Linked DNA regions of Bombyx mori. The protein of the gene in region 1 purifies or fractionates together with the protein of each later gene. This does not show direct contact. Links are inferred from orthologs where the notes say so. Each region holds a gene or a part of one and is shown on either strand. Other genes may lie near its edges.

Evidence for each region.
Region 2: the proteins of tether containing UBX domain for GLUT4 (region 1) and nuclear protein localization protein 4 homolog purify together in Homo sapiens (affinity purification with mass spectrometry; 3 studies listed by BioGRID and IntAct, with this or other methods). This does not show direct contact. The link is inferred for Bombyx mori from reciprocal best matches to the Homo sapiens genes ASPSCR1 and NPLOC4.

Annotation. Positions count from the first base shown.
Region 1 is NC_085117.1:12,215,128-12,219,060, reverse strand, and holds the start of tether containing UBX domain for GLUT4, read right to left. Parts: upstream 2,688-3,933; 5' UTR 2,495-2,687; coding exon 2,414-2,494; intron 1,933-2,413; coding exon 1,740-1,932; intron 915-1,739; coding exon 695-914; intron 1-694. UniProt on the Homo sapiens protein: Tethering protein that sequesters GLUT4-containing vesicles in the cytoplasm in the absence of insulin. Modulates the amount of GLUT4 that is available at the cell surface. Enhances VCP methylation catalyzed by VCPKMT.
Region 2 is NC_085123.1:16,719,710-16,723,642, reverse strand, and holds the start of nuclear protein localization protein 4 homolog, read right to left. Parts: upstream 2,624-3,933; 5' UTR 2,503-2,623; coding exon 2,461-2,502; exon of another isoform or gene 2,406-2,460; intron 2,331-2,405; coding exon 2,064-2,330; intron 1,054-2,063; coding exon 872-1,053; intron 1-871. UniProt on the Homo sapiens protein: The ternary complex containing UFD1, VCP and NPLOC4 binds ubiquitinated proteins and is necessary for the export of misfolded proteins from the ER to the cytoplasm, where they are degraded by the proteasome.

The DNA.
Region 1 (3,933 bases):
CACTGCTCCGACCCCTTCAGGTCGTCCCGTGATCATCACCTGCCTTCTCACAGGGGCTGGAGCTAGACGAACGCCCTCCTCCTATCCCCGGTTCGGCGACGACGGCACGGCGCCGAGAGGGAAGAAGAGCTCTCCCTCTCCCGTTCGGCGGCCTCCTTTTGGTAGATTGTGGATTCGCAGAAGTCGAGCTTCGCCAGCGAGGGCTCGTCGCTTTCGAGCATCGTCGCCACGACGGTCGGCAGCGACAAGTCCGGTCATATTTTCGCAATTAGGATGCAGCGCTGCTCCGCGAAAGCGGGCAGTATGCGGGCGTGTGGTCTACGATTTTCTCGTCACAACTACTGCAGACGTAGTACTTCAGCGTCGGTTCCCTGCGAGCGACGAGGCGCACGTACGGCCAAAATAGCTGTGTGCACCTGCGTCGCCTAGTTTGCTAACAGTAGCTCTAGCAAGAATAGTGCTGCTAGCGCAGAATCTACCAGCGAATCGGATACGCGATCCACTGAGAATACCAGTGAGAAACTCAAGTTGTTATCACTAAATGTGACATGATGCAAGAACTGTGAACAGTTTGCAGTGTGTAGTATACCCGTGTATGTATCTGGTTATACTACTAAACTATTTTTACTGCTAATATGTAGTCAATAATTAACTTAAATAAAATTACTTAACTGTAATTTCAGAACTTTCTTACCTAGCATCTTCTAGCTTATTTAGCAGTCTCAGAATGGCTTTGCCTTTTATTAAACCAAGATGTCTTAATGATTTTAATTTGAGAGCATCAACACCGACAACTTCCTGGCGCATATATAAAATACATGGATTTAGCAAGGAGCCAAACTCATTAGGTGCTAATTTCATTATCATATCATATAATGCTATGTTTGGATTAAAATCAGCTGTTCTTCTTTCACCTAAAATAAATAAAAAAACAATTGTAAAAACACTGGTGCTGGTGATCAAGTTAATATATAAAGGGTTTGTGTTTTATGTTACTTCATAAAGAGGCTGGAACTATAAAAATTGTGATCTTCCTCTACCTAAAATATAAAAGTAATATTTTTTCTAATAAATAATGCTTGATTAACACTACTTTTACATTTTAATTTCACATAAATGTACTTTTCTTTGTGTCTATGATTTGTGAAAGTTGAAGGACATACATCGTTTGGAACCTTTGGGTCTGCGGAGGGACTTCGGTTCCCTCTGTATTTTGTACCGAATGTTCCATGGGGAGTGCTCTGAGGAATTGTTCGAGATGATACCGGCATCTCGTTTTTACCATCGCACCGCCCGCCACCGGAGTAGAGTTCATCCATACTACCTGGAGCCACTGCGGTCATCCACAGTGCGTTTCCAGAGGTCTTTTCTGCCACGTACCATCCGGCTATGGAATGAGCTCCCCTCCACGGTCTTTCCGAGCGCTATGACATGTCCTTCTTTAAAAGAGGCTTGTGGAGAGTATTAAGCGATAGGCAGCGGCTTGGCTCTGCCCCTGGCATTGCTGAAGTCCATGGGCGACGGTAACCACTCACCATCAGGTGGGCCGTATGCTCGTCTGCCTACAAGGGCAATAAAAAAAAAATAAAAAAAAAATACTATATTTATTATTGTTCTAATGAGTCTGGTAGCGTCTAAATGACATTAGTAGTTCAATTATAACAAAAATATCATGTCCATCAAAAACAGTAGTTTCCTTTTTTTTTCTTCAGAAAACAGATTTATGTTATTATACTTACCATCTTCTAACATTAAACCAATTGTGACAATTGATTCCTCTCGTCTTGTTTCACACTCAACCATTTCAAGTGTAGCTCTATTTGGCACATTAGAAAATCGTATTGTTGTTGTTAAATCCATTATCTGATTATGAAACTTCAAGTTGTAGTCTAAAGGTTGGAATCCTTGTTTTTTACATGCATCCTCTAAGATCTAAAATTATATTGATTTGACTAATTAAACCTTACCACTATTACTATATGATTGATACATTTACACTAATTTGCAATTTAATTTTTATTTATTGGTAATATTGTAATTTTTTTTATATCAAATTATTTTAAATTATTATTGTAATGTTAAAAATGGTTCATCAAGGCTGAAACATCAGTATTAGAATAAATATTATAATCACTACATTACACAGCAGTCATGAAGAATATTTGTGCACGAATTGAATACAATTTTGCATTTTATAATGAATTAATCGAAATAGTACATTTGAATTCAGTGTTTGAGTGTTTTTATATAAACAAGCATCAAATAAATATTCATAGTTTACCACCAACAAGACAACTGAAATGGAAACTTATAATAAGCATAGTTACGGGTAGTTTAAGAAACTAAATTTTATAAGTTTTCTGAAAATACTTTCATATTAAACATTTACTTTATAGCATTCCAAATCTAATACCTGTAACATGCTAGTGTCTGGTGTACAATGCACTTTGTGTCTTCTTCCATTGGGTGTTAAAATGATGATATCTTTCGACATTATTTATTTTTGTTGGTTTTATCGTTTTACTAATTGAAATGAAATAATTATTTTACGATCTTCCAAAATATCTACAACTTCCTACATAACCTAAAACTAAAATACAAATTAAGTAACTTTACATTACAAACAACAAGTCATCTGTTTATAATTTTTTATCTGTCCCCAATTTGATTCTCTTTGCCTCAAATATTAAGTGTATTTTATCTATGCTCTTTGCATGCACAGACTATTTAGGTACTAAGAGATGCATATCATAAGTGTATTTATTATCTATGCTTTAGATTAAAAATGTACGTACGTCGAAGAAGCAATGGTAATGATTGAGCCCTAAACACGTCATTACGGATCCTCCCGATCCATTAACGGTGCTTTTAGGTACCTCAAGCATCGATCATCGACCTAGCCGAACCCGTCGCTTGCGACGAAGGGCTCGACGAGTAAATTAATCCATAGACACAGCCCACTGAGTTTCTCGGCGGATCTCCTCAGTGGGTCGCGCTTCCGATCCGGTGGTAGATTCTGCGAAGCACTGCTCTTGCTAGAACCAGTGTTAGCAACACTTCGGCTTGGGCCCTGCGAGCTCACCTACACGTCAAGGAAAAGCTTGACTTGAGAAAAAGCTATTGCGAGAACCCTAAAGAGTGGAGAGCACTGTTTTTCTCAATGGTTTCGTAAGTCAGGCGTTAGTTATTAGTTTGCAAAAATACTTATAGCATGAAGGGAATTATTTCAAAAAATAGCAAATGAATTAATAGGTAATTGCTGCTATTTTAATCTACAAATGTATATTCTAAAACTTGGTGTCAAACGTCCTATGAATATTTATAGTTGAACATAATAATAACTACTGATATGCCGATCTAGCTCCACTTTTTCAAAAATGGCATCCAATTTATCCGTAATAGGGCGACCAGAGCGACGTGCATCTTTGACATCAAAATTTCCGGATTGAAAACGCACCAAAGTGCTACTCTCACAGACACTGCACTAGGTCTATAAACATAGCAATTTTTTTTTCCGGGCTGGCGTTGCATTTTTACTTTTTTGTAGTAAAATTTTAAAATGTATCGAGTTTCTTCATTAGATTCACTCATCTTGACAGTACGAAAAATAAATAAAAATAATATTCCTAATTTGAATTTGGAATTATCTTCTTTAAAGTTTAAGCTTTTAATGATACCAAAACCAGCCAGATACAAATAGTATAATAGCCAAAGAGCTTTTGTTACTAGTTCATATATATGCGAATAGACTATAATGCGAAAAGACTTTTTCCCCAACCTATTAGTATTAAACATTATCATACAATGTATGTAGAAATGTTTCTCAATTATTAATATATTTGAGTTTTATCGAATTCTCCCTAGCCGCTTACAGTTCTTAGAAGCTCTCTAAGCACCGGTCACCGTTCTCGATTCCGATCCGGTGGTACATAT
Region 2 (3,933 bases), on another chromosome or scaffold:
AGTACAGATTATTAAGAAAATCACTGTTTTTTTTTTCATTTCATACATTTAATATACATATATAATACTTGTTAATATAGAAAATAAAACTTCAGGAATAGTTTATTTTATGCAATGTGCATCTTGACCATTTAAATACTTTGATGTGAAAATGTAACAAAAAAATATACTTCCATCTTTATAATATCGATTATTTAATTATAATTAAAAAAAACATGTTAGAGTTGACTGACCATGTCAGAAGACTATGCCACTATTAACAGTTTAAGATGTTGAATGCCATGACGACCATGCGACCCACCGGTGGGCGTAGCGTGCTATACCATTCGGGCCAAGACCAAATCAGGGAATCAGTAATTTTTATCAACTTGAGATTTTCATTAAAAAACCTGTAAAATGCGATAATTTGCATGGAAGATAAAAATCAGTGACTTCTACTGTCTAGCCTGTCCTTCAAACGAGGTTTGTGGAGAGTATAAAGCGGTAGGCAGTGGCTTGGCTCTGCCCCTGGCATTGTTGAAGCCCATGGGCGACGGTAACCACTCACCATTAGGTGGGCCGTATGCTCGTCTGCTTACAAGGACAATAAAAAAAAAGCCTTTAAGATATTTTAAAAGGTATAATCTTCATAAAAACTACAACTTTCTATTAGATGTGAAAACCAAGGAATTCGGTTCAACTAAAGGGCCCTGTGAGTCACTTTCATGCATATTCTGTTTGATAGCTGCAATCTGTAGCTTGTAGGAAGCGTTTACGTTAGAACCCTCATATGGCTCACAGGTAACCCTCAAGGCCCGAACGGTTCATTCGATTTTTCACGTGGCGTTCAACAAGTGTATAAAAATGTTAAAGAATATAGTAAAATACTTACAATTTTTCATCCCTCTGTCTTTCAATTAAACCAGAAACTTTGTACAATTGCAAATCTACTTCATCTTCCTCTGGAGCACCAGGAGGTGGGGGGGGTATTGGTAATGTGACTTTAGACGTGGAAGGACCTGGCTCTGATGACTGAACTGGTCTGGAACTTTCACTGAGGGGTTTCCGGTGGGTCTGTAAAATAGAAAATATAACAAATTAATATAATGTTTGTGAAAAAACAATACTGGAGATAATTTTTTTTTAATCTTAAAAATATCTAGGCAGTTGACTATAAAATGTGTTGATTAGATATTATATTTCACAAGCTGCTTTTCACTTGTCATTTATTTAGATTACGGATTCCCAAAGTGGTTGAGATAAGTTTACCAGTAGTTACCATTAATAAAAATTAATTTTGGGGGTCTACAAGGTCTACAATCTACCCAAGTTCTACACAAGTTCTTATTTGAAGATCTACACAAGTTCTTATTTGAAGATCTACACAAGCTCTTATTTGAAAATTTTCAAAATACTGTATAAGTTATACATGTATCAACTTGTAAGAATGACTAAAATTTTAGTAAATACTTATTTTTTTTAAATTGATAAGTATTTTGTAAAGTAATTTGGGTATAGGAGTCTGAGCTATAAGTTCATTTTGAAAAATGTCACCCTAGGTCAATAAGACTGCTCCCTGTGTATGGAAGTGAATATTATTATCAATGTAATAGATATAGATGAAATGAAATATCTGTAAAAATAGTATGTTTGCGGTAGGCAGCGGCTTGGCTCTGCCCCAGCATTGCTGAAGTCCATGGGCGACGGTAACCACTCACCATCAGGTGGGCCATGCGCCTACAAGGGCAATAAAAAAAATCAAAATAATATTTAAATTCCATTCCAAGGGCATTCCTCTTATACTATTTTAAAATTAAAAAGAAGCAAAAAGGGGCATTTATTCATGAGTGCAGGGCCATTAATAAATACCACTGACACTGTCAATTACAAATTTTTATAACATTATTTGCTATTATTTTACCGAACCATAAGTAACAATTATTATAGAACAAAAGATATTGATACAGTTGAAATGACTTGAATTCTAAAGCCAGGTTGATTCTAATTCTAAAACCATATTTTATTAGTTATTCAAGATGCCTTTAGCTTCTACATCAGAATGGAACACAATGAAGTCAAATCACCTCTGAGCTTGTGGAAGACTGTTCAAAGAGTACAGCACCATTGACTGGATTCAAGTATATCATGTCGCCATGACACAGTCCACAATCTCGCAGCTGTCTCGATTTGCTGGATGTGATTTCTTCCTTGCGCTGTCTGTCCTTGTGCAGAGTGAATGCGAAAGAGTTCAGATTCAGAGCTTCGTATATTCGCTCGAATAGATGCGCCGTCACATCGGAGTCCAGCACCTCCACTCGCGCTGTACCTTCGGGTGACTGAACTCGCAATAGCTGGAAAACAAACGGCAAGCCTGATCAACAATGAAAAAAATTATTATGTCCGTTAAGGCAAGCAATCTATTATACTTTTTCCAATATTCCAATTAAGAATTATTAAAATATTCTGTTGTGAATTATTTACTTGTAAAAACCGAACCAAAAACATTAAAATAATTGAAGACATGTCAAACTAATCAACAGCAAACTCGAAATTTCTATGACTTGAAGTCTCATATTTTTTCACTGAAACAGGCATCTAATTCTCAAGAAGACAGGCTCATATGCTATGTGAGGTAATTCAGTACCATTTTTTGTGATCTAGACATCTTCTCATCAACATAAAACTACAAAACACCAACAAAGCACTGACATAACAAATTTGACAAATCTTTGAAATCTTGTATTCCAAATACAGTGAAAAATATGTATAACGTCAATAAAAATATATCTCTGTTTAACTCGCTAAAGCGTAGAACCACAAAAACCTGTATGCTAGAAATAATTTCAGATTGTTCTACTTTTTCCGACTCTGGAACATAAACAATGACAGGACAAATATCACGCTTAAAATCGGATACACGAATAAATTAGCCAGTAGATCCAGTTTTCGATACATTTAAAATTAAGTGTACCTACCTTTCTTCCAGAAAAAAAGACTGGTCGTGAGGTCTTGCTTTTTTCTAAATTAAAGTGAATAAAACTGCGTAGCAGCTAATAATAGTATTCTAATATTAATAAAAAATATATTCATATTGCGCCTTTGGAATTTTTGTTTTAGTTTTATAATAAAATAATTGAACGGTTAATATGTAGTAGAAAAGAAAGTGAGAAATTTTATGAATTGAAAGCTAATAAAAGATAATGAAAGGTTGTATGATTATATGATAGGAAGGTATGATTCTTTTTATTATTCAAGTATTGAGTATAAAGTTTTGTGAGGTTGTGTTTGTTATGAGTTGTCTTATGGTTTGTAAGTTGAGTTGAGTTTGACTGATTTAAGTGGGAATAGCAATACTAATTTGGAGTGTTGTTTTCTATGTTTATGTATCATGTTTATAGTGAATGAGGTTTAAACTTATTAGTAAGAGGTCCAGAAGGAGTTGAAGGTTTTTAAAGTTAAAGAGGTCGAGAAGGAGATTAAAGTTTTTAAGTGGACTTAAGGAAGTTAATTTTTATTTTTATTTTTTATTGCCTAGATGGGTGGACGAGCTCACAGCCCACCTGGTGTTAAGTGGTTACTGGAGCCCACAGACATCCACGACGTAAATGCGCCACCCACCTTGAGATATAAGTTCTAAGGTCTCAAGTATAGTTACACCTGTTGCCCCACCCTTCAAACTGAAATTCATTACTGCTTCACGGCAGAAATAGGCAGGACGGTGCTACCTGCCCACGCGGACTCACAAGAGGTCCTACCACCAGTAATTACGAAAATTATAATTATGCGGGTTTCATTTTTATTACACGATGTTATTCCTTCACTGTGGAAGTCAATCGTGAACATTTGTTGAGTACGTATTTCATTAGAAAAATTTGTACTCGCCTGGGATTCGAACACCGGTGCATCGCTCAACACGAATGCACCGGACGTCTTATCCCTTAGGCCACGATGACT